Tamandua tetradactyla: one gene and its partners. The protein of the gene in region 1 purifies or fractionates together with the protein of each later gene. This does not show direct contact. Links are inferred from orthologs where the notes say so. Each region holds a gene or a part of one and is shown on either strand. Other genes may lie near its edges.

Evidence for each region.
Region 2: the proteins of ACTL6A (region 1) and SMARCD2 fractionate together in Homo sapiens (co-fractionation; 5 studies listed by BioGRID and IntAct, with this or other methods). This does not show direct contact. The link is inferred for Tamandua tetradactyla from reciprocal best matches to the Homo sapiens genes ACTL6A and SMARCD2.
Region 3: the proteins of ACTL6A (region 1) and PBRM1 fractionate together in Homo sapiens (co-fractionation; 4 studies listed by BioGRID and IntAct, with this or other methods). This does not show direct contact. The link is inferred for Tamandua tetradactyla from reciprocal best matches to the Homo sapiens genes ACTL6A and PBRM1.
Region 4: the proteins of ACTL6A (region 1) and ARID1A purify together in Homo sapiens (affinity purification with mass spectrometry; 5 studies listed by BioGRID and IntAct, with this or other methods). This does not show direct contact. The link is inferred for Tamandua tetradactyla from reciprocal best matches to the Homo sapiens genes ACTL6A and ARID1A.

The regions. Positions count from the first base shown.
Region 1 is NC_135331.1:77,893,299-77,901,352, forward strand, and holds the start of ACTL6A (actin-like protein 6A), read left to right. Parts: upstream 1-4,999; 5' UTR 5,000-5,162; coding exon 5,163-5,187; intron 5,188-8,054.
Region 2 is NC_135332.1:5,011,454-5,019,009, forward strand, and holds the start of SMARCD2 (SWI/SNF-related matrix-associated actin-dependent regulator of chromatin subfamily D member 2), read right to left. Parts: upstream 3,053-7,556; 5' UTR 2,714-3,052; coding exon 2,498-2,713; intron 1-2,497. UniProt on the Homo sapiens protein: Involved in transcriptional activation and repression of select genes by chromatin remodeling (alteration of DNA-nucleosome topology).
Region 3 is NC_135341.1:33,174,255-33,181,960, reverse strand, and holds the start of PBRM1 (protein polybromo-1), read right to left. Parts: upstream 3,037-7,706; 5' UTR 2,977-3,036; intron 2,963-2,976; exon of another isoform or gene 2,837-2,962; intron 2,676-2,836; exon of another isoform or gene 2,504-2,675; intron 1-2,503. Other genes in the region: GNL3 (guanine nucleotide-binding protein-like 3), read left to right, coding at 3,180-3,192, 3,841-3,899, 4,307-4,444, 4,557-4,670, 4,901-4,984, 5,769-5,901, 6,726-6,838, 7,073-7,190 and 1 more. UniProt on the Homo sapiens protein: Involved in transcriptional activation and repression of select genes by chromatin remodeling (alteration of DNA-nucleosome topology). Required for the stability of the SWI/SNF chromatin remodeling complex SWI/SNF-B (PBAF).
Region 4 is NC_135328.1:199,507,630-199,515,213, forward strand, and holds the start of ARID1A (AT-rich interactive domain-containing protein 1A), read right to left. Parts: upstream 3,012-7,584; 5' UTR 2,956-3,011; coding exon 1,834-2,955; intron 1,812-1,833; exon of another isoform or gene 883-1,811; intron 1-882. UniProt on the Homo sapiens protein: Involved in transcriptional activation and repression of select genes by chromatin remodeling (alteration of DNA-nucleosome topology).

The DNA of each region.
Region 1 (8,054 bases):
GGACACTCATAGAAACTTCTACATCTGTCTGACAGTGCTTAAGTTTCTCGTTTGAAGCCTTAAGCCCATCCCTTTCACTCCTTAATGTAGCCAGTGTATCTAACAACAACCAGCCAACATCTCTATATCTCTTATTTCCACAAAACTCTGTAAAGGTGTCAAAAACGTTATCCCCGAGAGCTTGGCTTTGTACAAGTGAAGCATTAGGAGAATTGAAGGCGATATTTTGACTATCTCTTTTGCCAGTTCACTCCATGGATTGGGAGTGTCATTCTGCTTATGGGAATCAGAGTCCTTAGTGCCTCTGAGTCCAGTCAGAGTAGAAAACCATTCATAAAAACCCATTTTTAAGATTCTGTTTCTTAAGAACCACTCCTGGTACAAAGATGTATTAGGGTTCTCTAGAGAAACAAAATGAACAGGGAACACTCGCAAATATAAAATTTATAAAAGCGGCTCACATGACCGTGGGAACACAGAGTCCAAAATCCACAGGGCAGGCTGTGAAGCTGACGATTCTGATGGAGGGTCTGGACAAACTCCATAGGAGAGGTTCACCAGCCAAAGCAGAAAGAGAGCCTGTCTATCCGGAATCCTCCTTAAAAAGGCTTCCAGTGATTAGATTGAGCATCACTCATTGCAGAAGACACTTCCCTTGGCTGATTACAAATGGAATCAGCTGTGGATGCAGTTGATGTGATCATGATCTAATTCTATGAAATTTCCTCATTGCAAAAGACAGGCCAGCACTTGCCCAACCAGACAAACAGGTACCACTACTTGGCCAAGTTGACACATGATCCTGACCATGACACCCTTCATCTTTTTTCTCCCTTTTTATCCCACCCCCACGTCCCCAGGACCACAACGTTAATACTATAATAAACCTATTAGTGTGCTATAAAGTAAATATACGTTCGTTTTCTTTTTCACATATCTACATCATATTATTGAAATGGTTAGCAGAACTATTTTAATGGCAAAAAGACGTGTGAATTTGATTGATCATATTTCTATGGCTGAAAAACTCTAGATTCCAGATGTTTGCTCTGGAATGTAGGAGTGCTTGCATAGGTGTTTTACTTTTGGAACTTTAGCAAATAGAGGATGGCATTTATAACTAAGTAGTCTTTACACATACCTATGTCTACACAAAACACTCTATATTAAAATTTGCTTTTCAGAATTGCTAATGCCATGTATTTTGCAGCACGACATAAAATAATTCTAGATGTATTTAAGTTTGGGCATCATTTCTTCCAAAAATTGTCTTAGTAGGACGAAACTCTATTCCTTTCATAGCCTGTATTAATGACAGTTTCAAAATTAAATGACAGGAAAGCTTCGTTTTTCCCAACTCTGAACTTAAAGGACGAAGCCCACAAAGGATAAACTCAGCAGCATTTTGTAATGAGTGCCGTAGTTCCATCATCGGAGCGCTGACTGGGCTGGTGACAAAAGCGGTGCAGGTTCACGCGACTGTAGGCGGGCCTGGTACAAATTTACAAGTACTGGGGAACAGCGACCCAGTGAGGCAAAACCGAGTATTGCACCCAGGTACGGAGGGAATTCTTGATGACTGGATTTTATAAAAGATTTCTGAATGGACATTCATTTTTATAGACCTAGATAGAGAATCAATCATTGAACGCCTTCTGGGGCTACATAAGTTTGCATACATGTTATTTAAACTTTTATTTTCAGGTTGGCATACCTAATATTGTGTCTCAGAGAGGGAGGAGGAGGCTGCAGCATTGATTGCTATTATTATTATTTTTTACATGGGCAGGCACCAGGAATTGAACCCGGGTCCTCTAGCATGGCAGGCAAGCATTCTTGCCTGCTGAGCCACCGTGGCCCGCCCAGCATTGATTATTTTGATACGTTATGCCCACGAGGACTGAATACCAGGAAATAACCTTGAGTCCTTGTTGCTGTTTAATCTGTTATTGACAACATTAACGCAGGCTGAGCCGAAATTTTAGCAAGAAGGTATTAGGTTACAGAAAAAATATTGATGCAAAAATACCTCTGATTGTGTGTGTGTATGTACTTGTATTCTGCTGAGTCTCTGTTGTATTTGTCTTATTACATATTTCCTGTAAATTTTCCTAGTTGGGAAGAACAGAAGAAAACAAGCTTGCACACTGTAAGTCTTGCCTCAGAGGAAACAATGTCAGTACTACACAGAATGTGCAGTCCCCAGCATTGTTCTCTTAGGCTGCTGAATAGGTTTCTTATTTCTCAATTTTCCTTTTTTCCAACAATTCAATACTTCAGGGCCAATCATCTTCATGCCATAATACACTGTTTAGTGATTAAATTTTATGAAAGGCTTAAGTGTGCACTTTTATCTGATCAGCCCTGACACATCAGATATACTGTGCAGTTAATTTCATTTGAAGTTCATTTCAATGGTTTATTATTAAATAGAAACAAGAGTCCAATGATACATGAAGGAGTAAGCTGACCTAGAGGTAAGGATCTGTTTTTAAATATTTTTCCAAATTATCTAATGGGGAAAAAAATCCTTCCTTTCAAAGCAAAAATACCCAAGCATAACTTTTGAGTACATCTTGAACTGCTCCTGGTGTGGGCATGGTGGCAGGAAACAGTCACAGCATTTCAAACTTCCCTTTAGAGCACTGCAACTCAAGGGAGGGTGGGGGAGTTGTCAACACTGCTGATCTGTTTCGTTTCTGGTAACTCTGAACTGGTAGGACAGACATTTCACTCTTTGCCAGACTAGACAGCTATTTTTTTTCTAGAATATGTTCTCCTACATGCATGGGAGATAGTCTTGATGACCAATATCCATATATAAAATCAAATTTAAGTTACAGTATATGAATTACTATGCATTTGAATGTAAAATTTAAATGGATTGTAGCATATTATAAATTCACAAATATTATCTCTTCAATATTTAATTATTCAAGACCAACCCATCACAATTTTTTTAGGTGAGATAGAACATATATATAAAAAAGCAATAAATTTCAAAGTACATTTTAACAAATAGTTATAGAACAGATTTTTAAGTTTGGCATGGGTTACAGTTCCACAATTTTTTGTTTTTTTCTTCTAGCTGCTCCAAGACACTGGAGACCAAAAGAAATATCAATATAATGATTCAGCAGTCATATTCATTTGTTAAATCCTATTTCTTTGCTATACTCCTCCTTCTCTCTCTCTTTTTCTTTTTTTTTTTTGTGATAATAGATTTACAAAAAAAAACAGTAAATTTCAGAGTACATCGCAACAGTTACTTGTAGAACAGATTTCAGAGTTTGGTATGGGTTACAATTCCACAATTTTACGATCACAATGTTTTATAGGTCATCAGCTTTATCAGTCAAACATAAAAACAGAGTGGAAGTAAAAATGATTTGGGGATTTGATATGCTAGAATAAGAGCTGTAAATAAGGGACAACTATTAAACGAGGTGTACTGTGCTCAGTTTGTTACATGCATTGTTTCAGGACTAAACAAACTTTTTCCTAGTAAATATTTCAGGCTTGGTGGACCACATGGTCTCTGTTAGTTACTCAACTCTGCCTGGATAGAGTGAATACAGCCATAAATGGATGTTTGGCTGTATCACATTAAAAGTTAGTTTATGGTCACTGAAATTTGAATTTCATATAATTTTCACATCATAGAACAATTTTTTTTTTAAAACCATTTAAGAGTGCTTAGCTCACAGGCCATGCAAAGACAGATGACAGTTGGGCTCTGGCCCATGGGCCAAAGTTTGCTTAACCCCTGCATCATCTCACTGGGTCAATGGAAATTTCTTAAGTGATATAATATACTGTGATACAATCCTACTGGGTAAAGTGAATGGGCCAGGGTTTTCTCACTAGTTTTGTTTCCCACCCCATTCTCCATCACTTCCTGCCACCCTACAGCACCATCACTCATGAGTCTGTATTCAATTTTCATCAGTTTAAGAATAACCCTAAGTATAGATTCTAGACCTGCCAATTTCAGAACTGACTTCAGCTAGAAGGCTATGCAACTATCTCACAGGTGTGAGCAATGGAGAGACATGAACAGATTTGGGCATCTTTCTTTCTTAAAGAATAAAATATTTTACGAACACAGACTTAAAACTTTATTTAAAATTTTTTTATTAATTAAAAAAATTAACAAACAAACAAAACAATAAGATATCATTCCATTCAGACTTAAAACTTTTAAACAAAATATTTGCAAGCCAAATTAAGCAATCGAAAAGGAAGATACATCATAACCAAGAAGGATTTATCCTAAGAACACAAAGTTGATTCAATATTTGAAAATCAATAAATGAAACTCACTATTCCAGCAAACTGAAAAAAGAATGAAACATCATATGGTCATGTCAACTCTCAGAAAACTAGGTATTCAAGGCAATTTCCTCAACCTAATTAAAGACGTTTATTAAAAACCTACAAGTAACACCAAAGTCAACGGTAAAAGACTGAAGGCGGATTTGGGCGTTTTTAGAGATCAAACTGCTGCCAGCCTGGAGAAGCAGCAGAGCGACAACCGTTTGCCGTATCCAGGGACAGGCAGCGTCTCAACCTCAGACTTCGATGCCGGAGGTCTGCCTTCCTCGGCTGCCCTGGGCGGCCCCCCCCCCCCCCCCGCCCCCCGCCTTCCGCCCCCCGCCTTCCGCCCCCCCGCCCTCCGCCCTACCTCCTTCCCTCCCCTCCGGTTCTCTCTCCCTCCCTCCCCTCACCACCCCTCCATCCTCCCTCCCGCCCTTCCCTCCCCCCTCAACTCCCACCTCCCTCCTCTTTCCTCCTTCTCAGGCTCCCTCGGCCCCGCCCACCCTGCTAAGTCCCGCCTTCTTCAGCTCCGCAACCTAACTTTCTGCCCTTCCGTCGCTCTCCCCCCTCGCCCCGCCCCTATGGCGGCCTTCGATTGGCTAAACTAACGGAGCTGTCGCAGGGACACAGCAAGCCTTGTTCTGATTGGCCGGCGGAAAAGGCTGGCCCGCTCGCGACTGGTTGATGAGAAGAGCCAGCAAGTGTGATTGCGCGCCGGTGTGCGGCGCCGCTTTGTTGCTGAGGGGCGGCTGTGAAGTTAAGGGAGGGGGCTAGCGCCTCCCAGCCTCAGCCGGACACGTCCCTTCACCTGGCGGCTCCGCGTAGGGGTCGCGCCAGCAGCGGCCATGAGCGGCGGCGTGTACGGGGGAGGTGAGTGAGCGCGGCCGGGGAGAGCACCTTGTGTGGCGCGGGCTGTGTAACCGCCGGCCGGCCCTCCCTCCCGCCCCCTCGGATCTCACCCCGGACCCCAGCGCCCCTGCCCCGGCTCTCGAGGAGCAGGCGCCGACCTTGGGTAGGGGCGAGCAGCGCCTACCAGGGTCCGAGCCCGGCTCCAGTCCCCATCCCTTCAGGGGCGCGCTCGGCCGCGTCGCCCAGTGTTTCTAGGTCCTGGTGTGTAAAGGCCTGGGCGGAGGGCTGCCTCCCGGCCTAGCGAGGGCGCGCGACGGAGGGGCGGGCGCACCGGACAGCGCGGGCTCCTCCTCCCCATTCTCCTCCTCCTCGTCTTCATCCTCCTCGTCCTCGTCCTCGTCCACGTCCTCCTACTCGTCCGCCGCAACCTCCTCCGCCTCCTCCTCCTCGTTCTCCTCCTCGTCCTCCCCCTGCCCCTACTTCTCCACCTCCTCCTCCTCCGCCGCCTCTTTCTCCCCCGCCTCCCCCTGCCCCTACTTCTCCACCTCCTGTGTGTCCGCCTGGAGCGGCCTCCTACTCTTGCCCCTACTCCTCCCCATTCTGTTGGCCCAAGTGGAGTGGCCTCCTCCTCCTCCCTCTCCTCCTCCCGCTCTTCCCCTTCCTTCTTCCTCCTCCCCCTACTCCTTCTCCTCCCTCACCTCTCTCTCCTCCTGTTAGTTCACATAGAGGGCTTGCTCATCCTCCTGCTCCTTCTTTCCTCCTCCTCTCCCTCCTCTCCCACCCTTCCTCCTCCTTCTCCCCCCTCCTCTGCCTCCTCCTCCCCCTTCTCCTTCTCCACCTCTCCCTCCCTCTCTTTCTCTGCCTCCTGGTCCTCTTCACACTCCTCCTCCTCCTCCAGATCCATGTGGAATGGGCGTGGCCTCATGTCCTCCAATAACGCCTGGCCATGTTCACTGGGTTCTCTGGAGTTACGTGGGCAGGTCTGTTTAGGAACACGTGTGACCTAAGGGTGCCGGTGTGATGCATAGACCAACAGCCAGAATCACCTGGGAGCTTTTTGGAAACGCAGAATCTCAGGCCCCATCCTCAGCCTTCCACTGAGCCTTCATTTTTAGAAGACCACTGGCAGACTTGAAGCTCTGATGTCTGTGATTTGTGTTCTGCATTGTTTGATGAGTTAGTGGACAAGGAGACAAATTGGAAGTATTACTGTTATTGTTTCTGGAAAGGATGACATTTTATGAGTAGGGGATAAATAATGTTTTCACAGTTCTCAGTAGTTTTTGGCCTGTAGTTTGTGTCTCTTCTGAGTGGAGTACAGACCTTTGCTCTCTCTCCACTTACCTATTTGATTTTGATATCTGAATGATGGGAATTTGGAGAAGGCATCGTGGATCCTCACAATTACTCTCCCCCTAGCCTGAAGATGCAAGCTTGAGAGAAAAACTGGGTCATGTATGGTTTAGGTATTTGTAATAAACATCCTGTGTCTTGTTGGCTTATGTAGAGTCTTAAAGATCATTTCACAGTTAAGTGTTTAGAATTCACAAAAAATAAATGCATGTTTTATGATTGAGCTATCACTGTTTCCAACATTTAGAGTGGGTCTCCCTTTTACACATGTTGTCCATGTAAAAGCAAGCAAACCTCTCACCTAAATGTTGTGTAAATAACTTACTAGACTATTTTTTTTTTACTTTTTATTGTACAATATAACATATATACAAAGCAAAGAAAGAAAAAAGCAATAGTTTTTAAAGCACTCTTCCACAAGTGGTTCAGATCCCAGAGTTTGTCATGGACTACCATATCATCCTCTCAGATTTTTCCTTCTTTCTGCACCAGAGTATAAGGGGCTAGAAGAATAAATATATATATTTTTTTATAATCACAATTGACTTTTTTTTCTTTTTTGTGAAAAATAACATATATACAGAAAAGTAATAACTTTCAAAGCACAGCACAACAGTTAGTTGTAGAACAGGTTTCAGAATTTGGTATGGGTTAAAATTTCACAATTTTAGGTTTTTACTTCTAGCTGCTCTAATATACTGGAGACTAAAATATCAGTTTAATGATTCTGCAGTCATACTCGTTTGTTAAACCCTACCTTTCTCTGTATAACTCCACCATCACCTTTGATCTTTCTGTCCCACTCTTTAGGGATATTTGAGCTATGGCCATTCTAACTTTTTCGTATTGGAGGAGACTGTCAGTAATAAGGGGTAGGGAGATGGAACCAGCGATGTTCTGGAGAGGCTGGGCCCTTTAGGTTTCAGGACTTATGTGGTCCAGGAACCTATCTGGAGGTTGTTAGGTTTTTAGAAAGTTACCCCAGTACATGGAACCTTTGTAGGATCTTATATATTGCCCTAGGTGTTCTTTAGGATTGGCTGGAATGGTTTTGGGATTTGGCAAGGTATGATAGATATATGTCTAACTGAAGCTTGAGAGTGACCTCCAGAGTAGCCTCTCGACTCTATTTGAACTCTCTCTGCCACTGATACTTTATTAATTACAGTTCTTTCCCCCCATTTGGTCAGGATAGAACTGTTGATCCCACAGTGCAGGTCGGGATTCATCCCTGGGAGTCCTTTCCCACATCGTCAGGGAGACTTTCACCCCTGGATGACACTACGTGGGGGAGGGCAGTGATTTCACTTACAGAGTTGGGCTTAGAAAGAGAGAGGCCACATCTGAGGAACAAAAGAGGTCCTTCTGAGGTGACTCTTAGGTATACCTATAGGTAGGCTAAGCTTCTCTGCTACCTACTTAAGCTTCACAAGAGTAAGCCTCAAGATCAAAGGCTTGGCCTATTGATTTGGGTGTCCCTAATATTTGAAGCAGTATCAGGGGATTCCCTGATGGTAAAGTTTAATAGTTCCATA
Region 2 (7,556 bases), on another chromosome or scaffold:
AGAGCAAGCTCTTCACCACCCCCAAGTCTGTGATCCTGATGCTCCTGGTGGCTGGGACTAAGGGCTTAAGTGAAAGGAGAGCATGCCCACCATGAGCAGAAAGTATATGGAAGTCTCTGAGGTGACACCAGCAATCCCTGCTATATGTGTATGTGTTTTCTTTTTCTTTTTTTCAAGCTCTCAATTGAATGTGATCTACAGCTAGAGCCACTATCTGGAGGGAGGTGGGTCATCACTTTCCTTTTTTCAATAAGTTTCCCTATTTGCCCATTTCTGGACCTCAAATCCCCACTCCTCAGGCTCATCTGATGAGCCCTAAGAGTCAAAAAATCCTTTTGCTCCTCAAATCTTAAGTCCTTTTTCCTGGAGGTCACACTGAACATGGAAAGAGGACAAGCAGATCCTCCTGTTCCTGAACTCACCCGAAGTAAGCTGGGTTCTTCCTCTCCCCACCTACCTCTTTTTCTACTCCCTAGAGGAGAAGGAGGAGGAGGAGGTGATGATAAGAAGCTGATGGTGAAAGCGAGGGGTAAGGGGTATGGTATGTATAACCTTTTTTTTCTCTGTTATCGTTTTATTTCTTTTTCTGTTGTCTTTTTATTTCTTTTTCTAAATCAATGCAAATGTTCTAAGAAATGATGAATATGCAACTATGTGATGATGTTAAGAATTACTGATTGTATATGTAGAATGGAATGATATCTTAATGTTTTGTTTGTTGTTAATTTTTTTTAATTAAAAAAAAAAACAGCTGATGGGATGGGAAGCCCTGGGAAACAGAAGGTCAATGCCATCCCCTAGGTCCCCACCACGAAGCCCAGGAGACCCACCCAGCCAGCTTGGCTTTGTCACAGGCCCAAGACCACTCCCCACAAAACATCCTTACAGGGGCTTTCCCAAGGGCATACTTCCCATGGGTTGTATGCCAAGGGAACTGGAAAAATCCCTATCTGCTTCCAGGTCCCTCCCAGGCAGAAGGCCCACAGGGAGACTCACACCCAGGTCTCAGTGAATAGGTCCAAGGGCTGGAATAACTGATGTCGGGACTGTTCAGGGACATCCTTGACCCCTGAATGCCCAAGGGGGAGGGTATGATAGGAAAGATAGACCCTAGCTGGAGGGTTTGGAACCAGGTCTATCTCTGTCCCAGACCCAGATCTTTTATTTTATTTGGGGGGAAGAAAGAGGATAAAAAGTGAGAAACATCACTGTCCCCAGTTAACCATCTCTTTAGAAATTGAGGGCCATGGGGCCCTGGTGGAATGCACACTCCCTACTCCATGAAGCTCCATTTCTGGGACCTCTGCCCAATGACTTGAGGAGCCCCAAGTCATTGGGGCTTTGGGAGAAGCCAGCACCGAATGCTGGGGCACAAGAGTTGGGATATGGCATTGTCAGAACATGAAGGCTAAATGGAAGTGCAGGTGGCCAAGACAAGGACAGACACAATTTCCAAGCATTCTGGTAATAACCTGAAACAATGGACTAGGGGGCTGATGAGACCCACCAACAGGGTCCGGTAGAGTTCTTCACACTGACTCTAAAGATTGAGGCTTCTCAATAGCCTTTGGAACTGGAACCTGAGAAGCTCTCTTTCCAACGCTCAAAAAGGTCAAGGCAATAGGACCCTTTGAGGCAATTCTCCCAGGATCCTCGGCCTTAGACTGGCAGGGTTCAGTGGAGCCGCTCTGCTCCTCCAGACTAATCAACTCCTGGACACTATGGCAATAGGCAGGAAGCCAAAAAGAGAGTCTTCCAGGAATGGTCTGTCACTGGGCTGGGCCTCTCTTCTTCCTCAGGCCTGGCTGCCACCATCTCTGGTCTTGGGATATCCCCAGTAAACACTCTACTCTGACCCAGGAGTAGTGTCTCCCTCTGCACAGGGGTGAAATCCCTTACTCTAACCTCAGCCTCCAGGGACAGTGAAGTCAGGCCTTCCTTATCACTAAGCAGCTGGGAGCCATCTCAGACACAGTGGGCCAAGGGGACAGGGGATGCTAGAACGCTGCCAGCTCCCAACCAGAAAAAACAAGACAGACTTGGGGTGCGACCAAGGCCAGTGTAGGGTAACTCTGGTTGCTCAGTGAAGGCCCCTGAGACTCCCCTTTTCCAAAACTTTCTCCTCACTTCCCAGGACCTTTATACGCTAGGATCTACACTAGACTTCTCAGAACCACCCACCCACACACCATTCCTCCACACAACTGCTCCACCTCCCAGTTACCAAGTAGAGTCTTTACCGAGGGAAGGCCCCAGGCCCTCCCAACTGTTTCAAACGTTCCACCCCCGAATCCCTCTTAAACCTTTCCCCAAACTCCACCACCATCTAACCGCACCCTGAGGGTCCTTGGCCTTGTCTTCCACCATGTCCCACGAGCACCTCATGCAGAGCCTCTGTGCCTTTGCCCAGCAGGCTTCCCCAGGGCCTCACCCGGGGCCCCCGCCACCCCTGCCCGCAGCGCCCTCGTGGATCTGCTTACCCACCCACCCTTCTCACCTGGTACGGCGCTGCAGGGCCCGCGGGCCCCATGGGGCGGAAGGCGGCGGTCCCAGGGCCCCCCACGCCTCCAGCCGGCCCAGGTCCCCTGAGCGCTGGTCCAGGCAGCATGCCGGATCCCGCGGGAGGAGGCGGCACCCCCAGGGCCGCGGCCACCGCGCCGCCGCCGGGACTCAGTGGGGGCAGCGGGAACCCGCCCGCGCCACGGCCCGACATCGCTCCGTCCCCTCCGCGGTGTCTCAATCCGGACTCCGGGCTGCGCGCCGAGTCCGCTCCGTGCTCCGCGCTCCGGGACTTTCCGATCTAAATTCCGGATTCTGCTAATCCGGGTACTGGGGTTTGTTGATCCAGGTTCCGGGATTTACTAATACAAGTTCACGAGTTCCTCACTGACCGGATTTGGGCCCCGGCCGATACTGATTCCGATCCTGTCTAAGAAACTCCGGATCCGGGATCTGCTACGCACCAGCCTGCAGTCCCCGGCCGCCGCAGGTTTGGCCGCGGGAGTCCGGGGGCCTGCAACTCCTCACCCCGCCCAACCCCGACCAGCACCAGGCCCCGCCTATGCCTAGCCGCCCAATGCTTGGATGCCTCCTCAAATCCCGCCCCTCGCGAGAACCGCCCCTAGCAGGCACCGCCCCTAACCGCCAGCCCCGGCGTCCCGCCCGCAGCCCTTGATCCGGCCCTTCGTCCGAGGGGCGGGAGGGGAGACGTCGCACTGAATCGCCGAGGAAAGCGCGAGGGTCAGAGATCGAAGGTCATGAACGACTTCAAGAGTGACTGAAGAGTGAATGGGGGAGTACTCTAGTGTTAACCGCCTTACCGAATTGCCCGACCATATTCCATGAAAATAGTTTGTCATGTCTCCTTTTTACATTTTCAACGTAAAAGAACTCAACCGAGAGCTGCCCTCTGGGGCAGAACAGGCTGCCAAGTCCATTTTCTTAAAAAGCCCTTCCTGGTGGCCCGGAGCTGCCAAGGGATATCGGTGGTTCCAGACCCCATCCAGCTGTGTGAATGGTTTGCTTGGCCAAGCGTTGAATTTTTATCGCACATTTTAAACATGGCTCTGCCTCACTTTAAGGAAGCCTACTATTTTATTCCACATAAATTTTTTCTAGGTGAAGGAAATTTGCGTTATAAAAAACCACCCTGGAGTTCAATAAGGTGTTTCTCTAGTTTTCTTTAACACTTAATTCTCAAGAACTCAACACCTTTTCAGAAACTACTGTCTTGTCTTAGTAGGTATTAAAATTGCTTTTGGTTTCAGCTGCAACAGGGAGCCTGCCTTGGTGGTCTGGGGTCTCTTCACCATGTTACAAATCCGCGCATCTCAAATTTTGAGCATAAAAAACGCGTGGGGTTTGTAGATTATGGTTCATTACGTCTGGGGTAGGTCCCAAGATTATGCATTTGTAATAGGCTGTCAGACAAAGTGTGCTGTTGGGACCACACTTTGAGTAGCCAAGATAGAGACTTTCACTATGTGGCCCTCTAACCTGCTTTGTTTTCATCTCCAGCCAAATGATAGCTTCCCTCCGAGCATCAGGGTAGCCCAGATCCTAGTATGGTACACTCCTTCAGTGCTTTTTAGAAAGGTATGCTGATCTGTACCTCCTTGTATCTTTCCTCCAGTAATAAATCTGGCTGCTGCTGTTTTCCTGCCTCTTAGTCCTCTCAGAGATCCCGCTCCTCATTCTCCTGAAAAGTTGATTTACCTCCCAGCCTGGGGACATGCCACAGGAACTGTCACAGCTCCAGTCATTGAACCATGGCTCCTCTCCCCAGCCTGTAAAGTGGATTAAGAATTCATGATGAGGCAGATTACGTTGTTTACTTCGAGTCTTTCAAGCTTGTTGAACAGTTCTCAACAAAGTGGTGGAGAATCAGAATCTCCTGGGGAGCTATTCCAAAATATTCCTGCCTCCCTTCCATGCCTACCATTCAAATCCAGTAGGGGCTGTGGGAGGAGACTCCCAGTATTACATTTTAAAAATAAACTCCCCAGTAATTCTGATATGATCCTCCTTGTAGAGAACCACTACTCTGGAAAAGAGGCAAGCTAATAAATGCATTTAAAAACATAAAATAGGGCGGTGCGATGGTGGCTCAGTGGCAGAATTCTCTCCTGCCATGGGGGAGACCTGGTTCATTTCCTGGTGCCTGCCCATGTAAAAAAAAAAAAAAAAAAACAGATAAAATAGTTAAGTGTAACCAGATCCAGTTAATCCTCTGCCTGAACTCTCCCTAGTTCCCCGTGCTTAGATCGATTGCCACACTCCCTACCATGCACATAAGGCTCTGCAGGATTTGGCCTCATTTTAAATCACCGCCTGGTGTTTTCTAAGCACGAGCCCCAATGGTACTCTTGCAGTTTCTCAAACTGGCAAGCCGCTTCCCACCTCAGAATCTCTACTCACAGCTCTTCCTTAACTTTTCTAAGCTCTCCCCTTACTTTGTTTACTTCCCACATAGTGATTATCACAATGTGTAATTACTTATTTAAGTATACTCTGATTTACTATTGATCCGGCTCCCCCACTACAATATAAACTCCATGAAAGTGAGAACTGTGCCTCTCTTGATCAATGTCATAAGCCACTCAACAAATGTTTGTGAACAAAGGAATGAGCTTAAGTGTAGTGGGAGAAAATGGTAAACATATACAGCCAGAAATGAGTTAATTGCTGTGAAAAAATATCCTCAAGGAGCTGGGAGGCAGAGATAGCGGAGGGATTAAGAAAAATTTCCTAGAGGGTAGACTCAGAGAATAGCTAACATTTATTAAGCATATGTGCCTGTACGTATTAGCTCATTTAATCTTCAAAACGTATATGAGGTAGGCACTATATAGGAGATAGATATAATTTTTACCTCTATTTTACAAATTGAGGCAGAGAGATTCAGTAACGTGCCCACCCTCACCATGATGGTGCTAGAATTCAACCTGGTTCCAATTAGGCTCTAGAATCCACAACCCAAGCAATTAACCATACATAATATTTATTACCTCTGTTAACAGTCATATTTCTAGTCAGTTATTACTTGCAAATAGTGTTCAAACTAGAAAGTAAGTGCCTTGGGGACTCAGAGAAAAGGGAATTGATTAGTATCATAATCTGGTCCTGATTAACCAGAAAATGTTTTCTGGAGAATTTTGTTTCAAAGAAAATACCAGAGGTAGTCACTCAACAGGCAAATAGGGTTTGATATCTCCCCTTGGGACAGTTCAGGAACTTGTGAAAAGAGGTGATAAGTTACCTCTGAAGACCTGATAGAGATGGGAGAAAGGGAGAGCACCTCACAAAACCTAATGATGCAGCCAATTTCGGGACTTGAAACCATGGAGGCAGCATTCCTTTGTTCCCAAGGCTTGGAATATCTTTTTTGCTTTCTCCTTTCTTCCATCAGTATTTATTCTTCTTACAGCCCACGTTTTGGTGATTCAGTTAAACAACTTTTATTGAGGCCTCCAATGCTCCTAGTCTTATACTCTAGAGGATGGGCTTTCTTATAACTTGGCCCTCCTGACCCTGTTGGATCTACAGATGCTCAAAGAGACTGAAATGGAAGTAAAGTATTTAATACAACCAGAGCCAAATACAACAAAAGGACACTTCCCAGTGTGGACTCTGTGGTTCCCTGTGGTGGGAAAAATAATCCCCAAAGAGTTCACCAAAGAAAGACATTGGGAACAAGATGGCCTAATCCGTCCCCCAGAGCAGGCCAGCAGAGGATCACTGCTCACTATGGAGGTCCCTTAGGAGGTCAGAATTTCGGGAGAAGCAAGGCAGATAGTCAGGTCATGGCAGAAAACACTTGCCAAGATCCAGCCTTGCTGGGGTCATACCAAGAGCCTGTCTCCATTGAAGCATCCACCTCCCACATGGATGTGGTGGTACAGCAGGCCCTGGGCACAGCCCAGCCAAAGTGGCAGAAGGGCTATATACTACGGTAAAACAGCCTATTTAGCATTTGAGAAATATTTACAGCATGTGAGAGCAACTTCCATATGCCAGTCCTTGACATAGTCTAGTAGAGAAGATACATGTATAAATAAATAATTTCCTTATGTGATAAAGATATTTACCAGGTGCCATAGGAAAACAGAGATGGCTTTAATGGGGAAAGAGATTAGTGAAGGCTTCCTGCAGGAGATTATATTAAGGAGGTTAAGAGTCAGTTAGGCAAAGGAGAGAGAATAAGGACTGAAGCCAAGAAATAGTACATGGTGAGGAGAATTAGAATAAGTTTGGCTGAATTGTCAAGTATAAGACAGGGAGGAGCTCCTCTGTGTGCACATTATGGCCACATAGTTTAGAAGGTAAAATACCTGAAGACTAGAGACTTCCAATGGTGGGAGCAGGTACTTGTACATAAGAAGTAGGCTTCAGATCAACACTCTGGAGCCAAGGGCTGGGGCATGATTCTCCAATTCATTCTCTCCCCAGAGAGAACCAGAGTTCCAACACATTCAGAGACCTGGGTGACACTGTGGTCTCAGTGGCCTCTTCCTGATCGCTTTGGAAGTCACCTGAAGAACAGAATACTCTGACATCAGACCTGCTCAGAGGTGTCCTCCTGGTTCTCGAATTTGGACCCAGAGCTGCTGACAGAGCTAAACAACAGGCTACTAAGATAGAAGAAAGATAAGGAAAGGAGTCTGTACAGGGATCTCTCCCTCCCTTACTGGTCCCTAAATACCCATAATACCCATGGCCTTGTGATTCCATCCTTACCTCTTTATTGTCGAGACAAACTCATCTACTCCCATAACTTCAACTAATGCCTATTTTCTGATGACCCTAAATTTCTTAATTTCAACCCTACGTCTCTCTTGAGCTGCAGATACATTTTTCCAACTCCCTGATAGTTGTTCCATAGGAAATTTAAACCCATCTGTTCAAAATCAATATCTCATTTTTCTTACTTCCAGTCTGCCTCTCCTCCCTGGGCTTCATCTTGGTTAAGCCATGAAGACATGGCAAAAGGCCAACCCTGCCTTGCTGAGACATTCAAACTGGTCTTGCAGGCAATGGAAAGCTAAGAAGATGGAGTG
Region 3 (7,706 bases), on another chromosome or scaffold:
AGTCAGAAGGAGCAGAAATGAGTACGAATAGATAGAAAACATTCAAGTAGAACTGCTAAAGAAAGGTAATAGAACTGGAGAATATAGGCATATTAGCAAAGGCCCAGGCACTAACAGTACCTGTATTTCCTCTATTTAAAAACCAAATGCTTTTCTTGTACTTAAAGATGTCTCGCTGAGGTTCCCCTTTGCTCACATAAATGAACTGTCAATCCCAGGAGTAAAGCATGCATGCCCAATTGCTCTCTAGTTAGTAAGATCAGAGTTCAGCCACAGAGCTGGAACTCAGTGAACACATGTGGGGGACTCACATGTGACACCAAGTTCTGGCAAACTGTAACAAACAGAGAATGGCTCATGTGAATAGTCTGGAAAACTCCTCCCTCCAAAAAAATTCAGAGAAAGGCATCACTTCTTTCCTAAAATCCTACTAGTTGTTGGAAAAAGACACCACATACAATTTTACAAAGATTAAAGGAAAAAGCCTTCAACCCTTTGGGCAGGAGTTCCGAATTACCTTTATAAATAATCCAGAGAAAACCAAATGACAAAGAAAGGTACAAATTACTAGCATGGATGTATATGGTTGAGGTATGCGATAACCCAAACCTCTTGAATCATTAATTCATAATTAATTCATTCATTAATAACTCTGATAATGGAAAAAAGATACAACTCAAGGATAATTTTCAAATATTCTTAATTCCATGCATATATTTTTCAATGTATTTTGAAAATTAGGCAAGAAAGGCAGTGTGATGAGAAGATCAGAATAGTAACCCAGGTCTTCTATCTCTAATTATCTGTTTGATGATGTCTGAGTCACAACCACTCAAATCTGTTTCCTCACCTCTAAAATGAGAACAGTAAAGTCGTACATATCTTCCTTGGGTTGCTGCAACGGTGAAATAAGATTATGCACCTTTGAAACTTCAAAGCACAACAAAAACGTTAAGTTTCAACTGTAGGATTAAATGCTCCTGGGTCACAGGAACTGATTTTATTCATGTGTGTAGCCCTGGCTTATGGAATAGTAACTGGTATAGCTGAATGTTCAATCTAGCTTTTCAGTAAATGTACAAAGAGTGCACTAAGTGGATCTTTTTTTGTGGGGGGGGCATGGTTCAGGAACTGAACTGGGTCTCTTGCAGAGAAGGCAAGCATTCTACCACTGAACTACCTGTATGCCCTAAGTGCGATCTTTTTTAAAAAACAAAAACAAAAAGATCATTTATGTAGTTTAAGAGGCCTACTGGCATGTCTTTAGATATTATTTTTCCATAGAGAAAGGAAATAGATTCTGAACCTCATTTTCAAGTTGTTTTTTTTTTTTAAACTTGGCCTTAATTATAGTTGTCTAAAGGCCTGATAACCAATGATAACTTAAGGAGGGCAGTAAAGAAGCGTAACTGTATAACGTGCAACTAGGAGAATATTCCGTATAGTCAAATGGTATACTTTGACAGCTTGTAAACTTTAGCTAGTATTTCGTAATACTTAGTATGGAGATCCACACATAAAACCAAAACTCTGGAAGGCTGAAAGGAAAAAAAAAATCACTCATAATCCTACTTCTCAGAGAAAACCACTTTAACTATGGTGTTTAGAGCTTTCAGTATTTACTTTATCCCTGAGTTCCGCACTTTTTTTTTTTTTAACAAATGCAATAAACTATATATATTATTTTGCAGCTAGCCAGGGATTATCTTAGGGAAGATTCTTCCAAATGAATTGATGATTTGATAACAATCTAGCACATGAATATACCACAACTTACTTAATTTGGATAAAATATTAATATTTGAGATATTGTATACACCCCTAAAGCCAGTGAGTGGACAAAGCCCTTCCATCCATTTATAACATTTCAGATGTTTTAATCTGAAATAGTCCTCAAAAAATACTTTCCAACCTTCCATTTTGGATCTTAAAATATGAGCAATCTGTTAGTGAGTAATAAAGCAAAAACTATACTAGTCTTTTATATTTGTATTGAGCTCAATTTGTTCCCAAACTATACTTGGGAAAAGTGTACTTTTAAGTGGAAAAAAATCACTTTGGAGGAGCCCTAGATCGTAAACAATAAGTTAACCAAAATAAAAAGCTTTACTCTAACATTTGTTTCTGTAATTATTGTACGAATTTCTAAACCCAATACTGTATATTTGTCATTTGCTTTTCAGGATTTCTTCCGTATTTTTTTTTTTTTTACCACTCTTTCTCCTTTAAATCACAAATATCTTCCCCATAATAATAAAACTATGTTTCTCAGTCAAAAGAAAAATACTAAAAACAAGGAAAACCCCCAATTTTTGTCATGTTCCAGATGGGACCTGAAACATTTGGCCTCTACTATAAATAACAACCTCATGGACAAAAACACAGTCTGAACACTGTCATCTGGAAAACATAAAAAATATATCACTAGGAGAGTTTGTGTCGGAAGCGACAAGAAACAACAAAAAGGCCCTGGCCGGCGGAGGAAAGGAAGGGCTTTCCCGACCTGTCACTGGTACGGGGATTTTAGGAAACGTTGACAGCTTTGAAGACAATTCCGCGGCGAGCGCTCCGCCAGCCGACGGGAGCCGGAAAGAGGACACAGGGAGTTCTCTGGCCGCTCCGCGCCTTTGTCCCGGCCAGCAGGTGCGGCGAGGTGGCCGAGCCCGTCCCAATGCCCGCCGCCGGGCCGCGCTCCGCCCCGCACGCCCGGCCGGATCGGCGCTTCCTCACAGCCGGGGCGGGGCCTCCGCTGCCGCTCCCGCCCGTCCGGGCCCACACAAAGCCCCGGCAGCTGGCCGAGGAGGAGCGGCCCCGCCCGCCCCCGGTCCGCCCTTACCCAGCTGCTCCGCCGCCTGCAACCCCGGCCGCGGTCACCGACCGCCACGCCCCGCCCCGTGGCCGCCACGGCTGCTTTATTGCTCCTCCCGCCGCGGCCGCCGCCGTCGCTTCAGCACTCGCCGCCCTAGCCGCCCTTACCCCGCCCGGCGCCGCCGTAAAGCTAACCCGGAGATCACCAAGCGAGCCCGTCTCCTCGCGACTCTGCGTGCGCGTGCACGCAAGACTGCGGCGGCGCGCTTTACGGCGGCCGCTTTGCGTGACGTTTTCCTTTGGCCTCATTTCGCACGTGGCACTGGCAGAGAAAGGTTGTCGCTGGTGACACTGCGGCCCCCACCGCCGATATGAAGCGGCCAAGTGAGTAGTGGGGACGGGTGGAGGTGGAGAGGGTCCCCTTTCTGGTGTTCCTCAAACCCACCGGGACCCTCTTTTCCACGGCTGGCTCTGTGCGGGGTAAGCAGGTAGGCCATCTCCTCGTTCAGTGAGGAACCAAGATTGGATAGACTCTACTTGATCCTCCTTACCTGCCTGCCCGTTGTACAGAAGGAAGGCTGGGTCCCGAGAATGGGAAAGGCCGTGTCAGAGTCTTATGAGGAGCGTCTTAGCGAGGTCTTAGGCCCAATCTTTTTCCTTCTGCGGCCACGTACAGACGATCCACCTGAGCGAGTACTGAGAACTGCTTCTCAAAATCCGCTTTCCGTTCCTTCCTTTCTTATGTTTCGTGGTGTTTGAGGGAAGTGGCTATTGTATTTGATCTCTTACGCTTCCATGTGTAATCCCAGTATAATGAGGGAAGAGTAGGAAAGAAAAGTTAGAGCGCCACCTCAGATCAATGAGTCATACATTCTCTGAGATTTGAGAGTGGTGTGTGTTTTATTAAGTTCCCAGAAGATTCTTAACTTTAGGTTTGAGAGGTAATGGCTTAATGTGAAAAGGGACAATCATCGGAAGCTAAGGAATCTGATTATCTGTGGTCTAATAATTTTATGATGTGTTTCTTTGTAGAGTTAAAGAAATCAAGTAAACGCATGACCTGCCATAAGCGGTATAAAATCCAAAAAAAGGTGGGTATTGTGTTGAGGAGATCTATACCAAATACATTGTTAAACTAATTTCTGCCCACCCCTCAGACCCCCAGGGAAGTTTGGGCTAATAAGATTTAGCCTTAGGAAGTGGGTTGAATAGGTATCATGAGTAGAGCTGTGGGAAAGTACAGTAATTTGGTGATAAGACAGTGCAAAATTTAATGGACATGTTCAGTAATCCCTACAAAGAGAGATGGAGAAAGTAGTGCCACATGATTCTTTGTTTTTTGGCAGTTTATAATTATGTATGTTCTGTTAGCTCAATTAGAGCTTATTTTTGTAGGTCATCTTGCAGGTATCCCTACACTTCGACCAGATTGGTTTCTTGCATGAATCAAGGAGGAAAGTTTTTTTGGTAAAGTTATGTAATGTTTTCAATATAATAGGTACGGGAACATTATAGAAAATTGAGAAAGGAAGCCAAAAAACGGGGTCATAAGAAGCCTAGGAAAGACCCAGGGATTCCAAACAGTGCTCCCTTCAAGGAGGCTCTTCTTCGAGAAGCTGAGCTAAGGAAACAGCGGGTAAGATATATTTGTTAAAACTTTCAATGAGTGTGGGTATACATACATGTGTCTTTTCAAAGCAGTGCCAAGTCACTTTGTATTATCCATTTATTTTATGGCTTGGACACAGCTTGAAGAACTAAAACAGCAGCAGAAACTTGACAGACAGAAGGAAGTGGAAAAGAAAAGAAAACTTGAAGCTGACCCTAATGTTAAACCATCTAACGAGGGACCTGTGAAGGAGGTATGATTTAGTCTCTTTGTAAGTGAAAGGTAGAATGCTGACACTGAAATATAAGCACATACACAGGGTGAGGGCTGCTGTGCTTCTTAGAAAGAAAAGACTGAGTTCAGGCTCTGACTTAATTACTTAAATATGCAGTGCCTTTTAGTTAGCCATGGAAAATAGAGAAATAGGCTACAATTGTTGTATTTCTAATTGTGGGTCTTTTCCCCTTTTTCTTTATCACCTAGGAATTTGGGCAACACAAAGCTAAGAACAAAGCCAAGCTGGGCAAACAGAATCCAAAGAAGTTATATTGTCAGGAACTTAAAAAGGTATCTTAATCTAGCTAGGTTCATGTCTAAAAATGGTAATTAGGTTTAAAAGAATTAATTATTCCTCTTTCCTGTCCCCATGCCACAAACCTTGTAAAGGTGGAAGTAGAATCTACTTGAGCTGGGAGAATCCTTTAGGAGGTTGTCTTATGCCATCTAAGGCCTTTCCTGTTATGTTGAGCTAAGGGAACTATTTTTTTTTCCTTGAAGTGAGGAATGAAGTTTACAAATGGCTTTTTGTGTTAAAGATACAAACCATATTTTGACCCACTGGCTTTTAAGATGGAGGAAAACACATTATACAGTAGTAAAATAAGGGTTTCTAATGTGCTGTGGAAACCTAAGTGAAGGAAGTCAAGAGGGTGATGTCCTTTTGGGGTAGGTGACACCCCACCCCCACCCCCACCCCCCACTATCCCTGACCTCACTTTCCGAAGCTTATTATTCCCTTTGGATAGAACCTGATTATGCATCTCAGCACCTCTTATGCATCTCAGCACCTCTTCAAACTATAAAGTGGGGGAGGATTACAATTCAGACATTTGGGGGTGTTGCCACTTATAAAATCTACTCTGAAGAGAGGCTGAAGGCCCCTGTGCAAGCCTATATGTTTTCTTTTTCCTGTGTGAGAAATGATGAACATATGAACATTCTTCATACAAAATGAAGACATGAAATCCAACTCTGAACTCATTCATTTGCAAAGTGGATAATGCCAGCACACTTGTATTGAGAATGTTTCCAGAGTGAGTGATGTAGTTCTGATTGTTCTATCCCTTGACAGGTGATTGAGATCTCGGATGTTGTGTTAGAGGTTTTGGATGCCAGAGATCCTCTTGGTTGCAGGTGTCCCCAGGTAGAAGAGGCCATCATCCAGGGTGGACAGAAAAAGCTGATACTTGTATTAAATAAATCAGGTGAGCAAAAGGCCAGGGTGCCCTTTGTCTTGGCATATGCTCTAGTGAGGAATGAGGAAAACATCTGAACAGTCTGATTGCCACTGAAGCTGAAGACTGATAAGATCCAACTCTGACCTCAGTTAAGCCTGTGCCTGTGCTCTGCTCTCTGGTTGCCAAAGACAGTGCTAGGCAGTGAGGGGAGGGTGTTTTCCAAAGTGATTTACCTGGTTTCTGTTGTTTTTTTGCCATTCAGTACTTACCACTTGTCTTATTTAAGATTGTAAGTTTCTGTGGCTTGCCTAATGTTTGATATATTTTGCATAAGAAGTGATAACATTGTATCAAATTCCCCCTACACATAAAATAGTCGAGTCTATAATAAAGTCAGGAGCTAGGTAAATTAGAACCTGTATGATAAAGTATTTAAATAAGATGTATAATTGTGTATCTGGGTTTGAGTAACAGGAGCAGATACCTGAAAGCAGAAAGTAAAAATGGTATCTAAAAATACTGTTGTGGACAGGAAACAAATGGTTATTAGCAGAGGATAAATTCTAGAAAAAAGATTAGCTCTAGGATTAGTAAGGTTAGAATCTAGAGGTTGACTCAGCTCTGAAAGATGAGCTTGGGAAAATGGGAATAAAAGAAATACAGAAGTGCTAACATTGGGCTCTATTAAGAGTAGCATAGTATGGAATTTACCCTGTCCTCCAGTTAAATCCTTCAAGAAAAACCTGGGACAAAGCGAACTAGAATAAAACTATAGTTTATAGCAGATCTTGCACATTTCTCAACAAAATTACCACACTGAGGCATCTGTCTTATTCCTAAATTCCTACCAGATCTGGTGCCAAGGGAGAATTTGGAGAGCTGGCTAAACTATTTGGAGAAAGAATTGCCAACAGTCGTGTTCAGAGCCTCAACAAACCTGAAGGACAGAGGGAAGATGATCAAGGTACTGTTAAAGTAAAGTGTGGTTCTTATTTGGGGCATGAAATCTATTGAGTAAAAAATCTTGATATGAAAATTAAACATAAGATCCAACTCTGATTTCTTTCAAAGAGATAATCTTAAAAAGCAGTAGAGGATGATAATTAAGAGCTGGGCTCTGGAGCCAGATTGTTTGGGTTTGAAGTGGTGAGGTGTCAGATGTAGTCATATTAATTATTTGGAATTTTAACATGGGAAGGTAAAGAAGAAAGCTGCTCCATTCAAAAGTGAAGTCTGCTTTGGGAAGGAGAGCCTTTGGAAGCTTCTTCGAGGTTTTCAGGAGATTTATGGCAAAGCCATTCGGGTTGGTGTAATTGGTGAGTATTTTTCAGTTCAGTACATTTTACTTCTTACCTCTTAAGTGCCAAGATATTTAGCCAAGAAAACCTAAATAGTTGTTGCATGATTCAGATCTTTGTTGTGGCTGGGCATTGTAGGAAATTAGCTGCTGGAAAATCTTAGCATATTTGAATTGATTTACTTGTCTATTTTTTCATTACTTGAGCAAGAAATGAAGAAGCTGATTGGTCCTAGTGTTGAAGTGAAGATTCGCAGATCCAACTCTGATCTTGCTCTAAATAGCAGGCACACATAAAGTTAGGCAATGGAAATTTTATAATTATCAGCATATAAAACGTTTCATATCTCTGGATTTCCCATTTATTGATAGGTTTCCCAAATGTGGGAAAAAGCAGCATCATCAATAGCTTAAAACAAGAACGGACATGCAATGTTGGTGTATCCATGGGGCTTACAAGGTAAGTTGAGCTGTTCCATAATAGCAATATTTTAGTACAGATGTGTATATGTAACTTTAGCCTGGATATCATGAG
Region 4 (7,584 bases), on another chromosome or scaffold:
GGAGCATGAAGGGACCACTTTCCCTCTTCTTAAAGATATATGGCTCCATACAGAACCCAACATTCCTGATTAAAACCTTGAAGACAGAACACAATGAAGAGAGAAAAAGAGCAAAATAAAAATAAAATAGGATGCATTAAAAAGTACAAAAATTGTGATTTCTAAGCAAATCTTTTAAGTATCACAGTAGGTCCTATCTTTATATCTTGGAAGACAAGAAAAAAGAAACATACCTAGGGATGCAGAGAAAAAGTTAGCCGATTTCTATTTCAAAGCTCTAAAATGACTGAAACATTAGAAAACTAGTTTTTTATATTACAGGATCAAATGATAAATTTCACCAAATCAAGTCTTCAGGAGAAAATCCCTCTTAACATCATGAAATACAGACATTAGCTTCCCTTTAAATTGAGCTGCTCTGCCAAAGTTTAATTAACAAAAAAAAGAGTGTTAGATTCAACATGTAAACAAAGAATGAGGTCACAAACAGAACACTTGAACCTAATACAAAATTCTCTCAAAAAGCTTCCAGTTCTCCAAACTAAGAAAAAAAAAAAAAAAAGTACTACTCCCGAATAAAGATCTCACATTCACCACTCAATAAAATGCCCAGTAAAATAATTTCAATTCTGAAAAGCAAACAAGATCGAAATTACTCAAGACAAATGCATCTTCAGAATCATCAAAGAAGTCATTTATACCATCAGGAAAGTCAAAACCAAAACAAACAGCAAACCCATTGTAGAGAAAAACTCAGCTACTGTTCTGACAACACAGCATCTATTTCAGGCTGCATAAAACATAACAAGCAAAATAAATCCAAGGTACAAGTGAAATGCCATTGCCTCTCTTTTGTTTTGTGCACAATGTAACAAGGGCAACCTGTCTGGGGCTTTGCTCCTGCTGATACAGTATTGCTGCTTAAACCTCCCTCCTCAAGGTCACAGCCAATTTCAGCTCTGGAATAAAAGGCAGATAGTGGCAGCGATGGTTTGGGTTATCACTGGCAGAAAAGCAGAGTGTAAAAGTTTATGAGCTCATCAGGATTGTTGTACCATTACATCAGAGGCAATTATAAATGGCCAAGAGCAGGAGATGGGGAGCCAATCAGATCACAGATAGGATGTCAACCTAAGACCAACTGTCTCCTGGCTTTGACAGAAGGATTTTACCTCCATAATTCAAATCCCAAACCAAAGCAATCTGCACTTACTACTCCAATCACTCAGCTGTTTACCAGCACTTCCAGGGAGAAGCCCGGGCCACAGGGCCGAAGAAGACTAAGACCGGGGATGGCCCGGGCTGTCCTGGGTGAACCGCAGCCGGCTTCTAGCGGCCTCCAAGCAGGCCCCTGCCCTCCCTCGAGCCTGAGGGGCCCCTCCTTGAAAGCACAGAAGGGGAACGGCCTAGAGGAAGCAAGGGGGCAGAGAGGAGTGGCAGGTGAGCAAAAAACTGTTCTCTTAACTCCCGAAGCTCCTGCCACTGCCTATATCGCTAACCTGAGTCCCCAGCCCCGGCTCACCCCAGGCAAGGCCCTTCGCCGCCCACTCTGCCCCACAACCCCTCTGAAGACCCCCAGAGTTCTAAGGAACTAGGAGAGAGGGGGAAGGGGAGCAGACACCTCTGTGAAAGCCCCACACAAAGGCTGAAGGAGGAAAGGAGAGGTAGGCAGAGAGGCAGCCATTTTAAGAAAGAAGAGCCAGACAATGGCAGGTCCCCAGGAGTGGGGGCCCGGGACTGGGGGAAGCCCACGGCTGTGGCCGGTTTCCCGCTGCCGCCACCCACCTCCCAGAACCCCGCTAGCCCCAGCCCCCTCCCCACTCAGCTGTGTACCTGCGGGGTCCGGGCGAGCGACTGCCCCCCGCCGCCGCTGCTCCCGGGGCTCATGGGCGCGTGGTGGCTCCTTTGTTGGGCCCCTCCCGAGGCGGCCGCCGCCGCCGCCGCTGCCGCCGCAGCCCCCCAACACTGCGAGGCCATGTCCGCCGGGCCCTTGCCGGCGCCTCCGTCCTGGGGCCCGCCGCCGTAGTCACCCCCGGGGTAGCCCTGGTAGCCCCGGGCCGAGCTGGGCGACGTGAGCAGTTGGTTGAGGGTGGGGGTGGCGGTAGGTTGGGGGGTTCCCCCGCCGGCCGCTGAGGGGCCGCCTCCCCCCATGGCCCCGAAGCGCTGTTGAGCGAAGGACGAAGACGACGAAGAGGCGGAGGCGCTGGAAGAGGGAGGCGGCTTGGAGCCGGCGGCCGCCGCCGCGCCGGGGCCCGGAGTGCCGCCTCTCGGGGAGCTCAGCGCGTAGGCCTGGGAGGGCGGGGGGTAGGCGCTGCGGTTGGGGTAGTAGGAGTTGTACTGATGGTTAGGGAAGCCGTGGTCGTGCGAGTTCTGCTGGGGCCCCGCGTAGGGCTCCAGGCCCCCGCCGCCGCCGCTCTGCAGCGCTGCCAGGCCAGGGCTTTGTTGTCCGCCATGTTGTTGGTGGAAGACGGCGGCCGCGGCGGCGGCGACGGCCGACGGACTCCGGCCGTAGGGCTGCCCGAAGCCGTAGGCTGGGGGCGGCAAGGCGGCCGTGGCCGAGTGAGGAGGCGCCCCCACCCCGTCGCTGCTACCGCCACCACCGCCGCCGGGCGGCTCCGTGAGGTTATTGTTCAGGGCGGGCCTAGGGCCCGCGTTCCCGTTCGAGTTCTTCAGGTCCGGCTCCGCGCCGGACCCGCCGCTGCCGGCTCCGCCGCCGCCACCCCCATTGCTCTCGGCCCCGTCCTGCAGCTCCTTTCCCAGCGGCTGCGGCGGCCCCACGGCGGGACCCTCGCTTTCCTGCCCGGCGGCTGCCTTCATTTCCCCGCGCTCGGCCGCTGCCGTCGCCTCGCCCCCCGCCTCCTCCCGCTGCTGCTGCTCCGCTTTCTTCAGCTCCGAGGGCGGCGGCGGCGGGTTACCCAGGCTGCTGGCGGCGGCGGGGGCGACCTGCGCGGCCATGATCCCCGCTGTCTCGTCCGAGGAGAGACCCGGCCCTGTCTTCGTCTTCTCCCCCCCCTCCCACCCCTCCCCGGGGCCGAGTCCCCCGGGCTGCCCTCCCCACCCGCCCGGGCGGGCCTCGCGGGGCTCCGCTGCTGCGCTGCGCTCGCTCGCTCCTCTCCCCCCCGCCCCGCCGGCTCAGGCTCCGGGCTGGCGGTGGCGGAGGAGGAGGAGGCGGCGGCGGCCGAGGCGCCGGCGGCTTAGCTGCTCTCGGCTCTGGAGGCTCGGGACCCGGCTCTCCCGGCTCATTCCCCCCAAGCCCTTGCCTGGGAATGAGGGGGGCGGTGGAGGCTCCGCTCCCCAGGGCCTGGCCCCGCTGTGACTCTCCGCTTTCTGCTGCCGGAGAAAGGAGGAGGGAGGGAGGGAGGGAGGGAGGGAGGGAGGCGAGGGGGAGGGGGCGGGGAGGGAGGGAGGGAGCGGGGGGAGGGGGACCCGGGACGGGCGGGCTGGAGGGCGCGCGGCAGCAACCCGGGCGCCGGGAGGGAAAATCGGAACGCGGGCCGGGTGCCGTGCCTCCCCTCCCCGGCCACGGCTCGGGCCGAGGCTGCTGTGCGGCCGCGAGCGGGCGAGCGGGCAGGCGGCCGGACTGAGTGGCTAGAGCGCCCCACTCTCCTCCGAGTCCCCCTCACTCCGACACGAGGCTCAGCACTGCCATTTTACCCAGCGCCGTCGCGGCCGCCTGGCAAACCCGAAATGGAACACGGAACGGGCGCGGGCCGCGGAACGAACTCTCTCCCTTCCCCTCACAAAGGAGGAGGGGAAAGAACAAGCCTTGGCGGCTGTAGGCCCTCGGTAGCTTTAGCTCGGCCGCGCCGCCGCTGAAGGCATCGGGGAAAACCTGGCCCGGACTTCCCACCTCTGTGGAACCTGCGCCGCTTCCCTCCCGGCGTTCCCATCCCAACCGGTGGCGGCACGGAAGGGAGCCGGCAGCGTGAACTTTACCCGCGGCTGCAAAATTGGCCTGAGCCCGAGACCACGGCCGCCAGGGCTCTGGCCTGACCCCCTGGCAGTGGGCCTGGTCTCTTGGCAGCTACTTAGCACCTCTGCTGCAAACCGGCTCTAAAGATCCAGCTGAGTAAGGCAGTGGGTCCCAGCATTTTACCTAGGTAGCTGGCCTAAGGATCATTGTTTTTTTGCTATCCTACCTCCATTATCCTGTCCTGACAAGGCCTTGGGGTCCAGATTATCACCATTTCATAGAATTGAAATATAGAGAGGGGAAGGGACTTGTCTTGGGTCACAAAGTTAGAGGACAGAGGAAGGTGGCTTTAAAAAGAAGTGGAGTCCCCAAGGCTGATTCCTGTCTATTTATCCTTTTAAAAAAAGCAGTCAAGTTGTGGACAAATCCAGTGATGGGATCAGAATATCAGAATAAGGATGGGTTTGAGATCAAAGCTGCTCAGCTCACCACAGATTTAAAGTGGTCTCAATGGAAGCTGCTTTGGAGGCATATGGCAGTCAGACATCAAGTAGAATATGAGCCCCTTCTCTATCTCCTAAAAGAGCTTAGCCCACAATGATCAATACCCAAAGGCAGCCCCTACAGCCTGTGGAAGAGGCTTCCTGGGCTGGAGGTACCTGATGTTCAAACAAACCACTGAAGAAAAGGGATGGCCAAAAGGAGGGAAACAATTTTATCCTTAAAGAAACAGAAAAGTCACAGTCTAAAAGGTCATTCAGAAAACAGATGCAACCCAGATTTGTTTCTTATTCCTCAGTGTAAAGATTCTTTAAAGTTTACCATCACATTCTAAGAAAACCTGATGGAACTGGAGTTAGGTATATGTTAGTTAGGTCAGGTTTATTTGAAAAGATCAAGGCATACATAAAAAAACTCCAGCGTTGCCCAGCAGCCTTTTCCTCCTCAGGCTGACTTGGAATGCTCTGACATGACAGGCTATGAAAGCCAGAGGGGATTCCAACTCCTCACCAGGCTCACAGATGCCTTAAGAGAGGCCCAGACAAGCGTTTCTAGACCCCAGAGCTTCTTTTCCCCTCAGATTTTATAAATGGAGACTTCATCATTATCTTAGCACTTTCAGATTCTGCAGGCCCCTGCAGGAGTCCTTACCAAGCTACTGGTCACTGTGAATAATTCCAAAAGCCTGAGCTCATTTCTAACACCCCCCCCCCAAAAAAAATCTTAGAGCATCCTACACTAAAAAGGCAAAACCATCCTCCTAATCTAAAACATTGCCTTTTTTTCCCCCAAAGTCAAGAATTGAAACCCTACCAAGAAGATCCAATTCACTGGAATGGGCCAGTGCCTTAGTTTCATTCATAGTCCAGGGACAACAACTTTCCTAGTGTATTACGTTAAAGAAACCAAATTATATTCTGCCTCATAAATGGAGTTTGGTTATTAACCACTTGCCCGTGAACTGGCAAACAGTCCTGAGTCCTGCACACAAATGAGGAATTTTTACATGCAGTTGCCCTGTCATTTTCCTCAGAGCTTAAGTGTAATGGGAAACTTGGAGCCAGTGTATATCTGGAAGCCTGAATGGATGTCTCCAAAAGAAACCCTCATCATTCCCTTTCTTCAGTGGCTGTGAAATATGGAAAGTGCCAAAATTCCTCTCCCTACATGTGAGCATTGTTTTGAAAACAGCCACCATTTTTATCTAGCAATTAGGTGAATTGCCCAAAATCTATCCACCTGGACTGGGGGAGGTAACACGGGATTTCTTTCTTTCTTTTTTTAATTCCAACTCGTTTAGGATCCTTTTCTATCCCTACCTTTAGAGCCCTACACCCCCATCCTGGAATCGCACGCCTGAAGGGAACTTTCTTAGAAACTAGCCCACAAACTCTCTCTAGGGGTACAGGGAAAGGGGGGGAGGGGAGGAAGCTGGGCACGTGGCTGGCCCGAGCTGCGAGACCCAGCTAGGGACTACGAGTCCTCCCCTCGGTGGAGTTTTCTTCCCCATGGCCCCTGCCATTTAACCCCGCACCCAGGCAGCTCAGGAATCCCGACGCAGATTGGAGAACTAGGACTAGGACAGCGCTACCCTCATGAAAGCGCCTCAACCACCAACAGCCTGATGGCAAATACGGACTGAATCGTTGACATGGAAACCGGACTAAAGTCTCGCTTGCTCTCCACACAGGAGAGTTCTTATCACCGTCCCCGACCGCACGGCACTTGGGCAAACGTGGACTGGATCTACCTCCCGGAGGATCTGGCGGGGTTTCTGGACACAACATTAACTCCAGCGGCCGCGGCCGCCGGGTAAAGGGAGTACGGCTGCCAGGACAAACAGACTGAAAATGGCAGAGGATGTGCTCTCATTTTACCCAGCTGCACATTGCGCATGAATTGGGCCCGAGAACAAGGGAACAACCTATTAGATTCCACACAGTCAACTGCAAAATGTGGATCCGAGACCTGGAAGGTTAAGAGAGGAAAACGTTTGTAGGGAGGATAGCTCTTCCTCTCTCGCGCTTTGCTTTCCCAAAAGATCTGAAATACAAAACTCAACAAACAAAAGGTCAGGCTTTGCTCCTCATCAGGACTCCTTCCTTCCCCCATTCCTCGGGGGGGGGGGGGGACTTTTTAAGCTCTGAACTAAAGCGCGGGGAATCGGTGGTTGCTGCCCCCACACCCATTCCAGCCGCGGCAAAACAGCAGACACCCAGCGGAGCTCGCGAGTGCGAACTGGAGCAGCGAGTTTGAGCAAAAGGGCAACTCCGTCAGTTGACGGAAGCCAGAAGCGGAATTCAAAGTCTGGCATGGATTTCCGCCTGGAGCTGTCTGTTTCTTAAAGTTTGTAACTCCGTGTTAAGAAACAGCCCCAGTGGAGGCTTTGGGATCAGTGTGAAAGTCTAGCACTATCATCTGACAGCGAGCTGCAAAACTTTGGGCTGCATATTAAGAGAGGAAAGTGGATTGAAGCGAGAGTCAAGGCAATTCATTATGTTACCGGCTACCAGGCGGGAACTGTAAAATATGAACTGGAGTGACACCGAGAAAAATGGAATGGAGCCTGAATGGCGCTCAAAAACCCTTCCTGGTAAAACTGTGCCTGCCAAAAACCTTTAGAATCCCAAAGGAATAACCAAGGATGCATCAAGTTTGGTGGGTGCCTAATAACCCCTTCTCTACATCCTTTTTCGCCCATCTTAAGGTCTTGTTTTTTGTAAAGTTCCTTTATAATCCAAATATGCCATCTCAAGGTCTAAAAAATAGCAATTTGGGGGGATTTACATTTCAGAATAATGATATAAAACACATTTTGAGACATATTAATATTTGAATATGGCTCCCCCCCCAAGGAAAGTAGCTATGATAAAATACCCTTACCTATAAATTAACTAGCTTAATTTGTACCATTATAAATTAAGAATTGGCCTGACCACCACCTCCTCCCAAAGTAAAACCAAACATAAAATAAAGGTCTAGGCTAGTCTGATTTGTGGTAGGTTTCAAACAAAACAGAATACCCAGGGTCAATCTAACATGAGGAAAAAGGTAGCAACTCTCTCACAATTTAATATGTACATTCTCCTCATCCACCATTCTCACTGGTGAGCTTGCTGACTATTTTATTAGAGAAGGAAGAGTACAACTATTAATAATATTAAGAAACA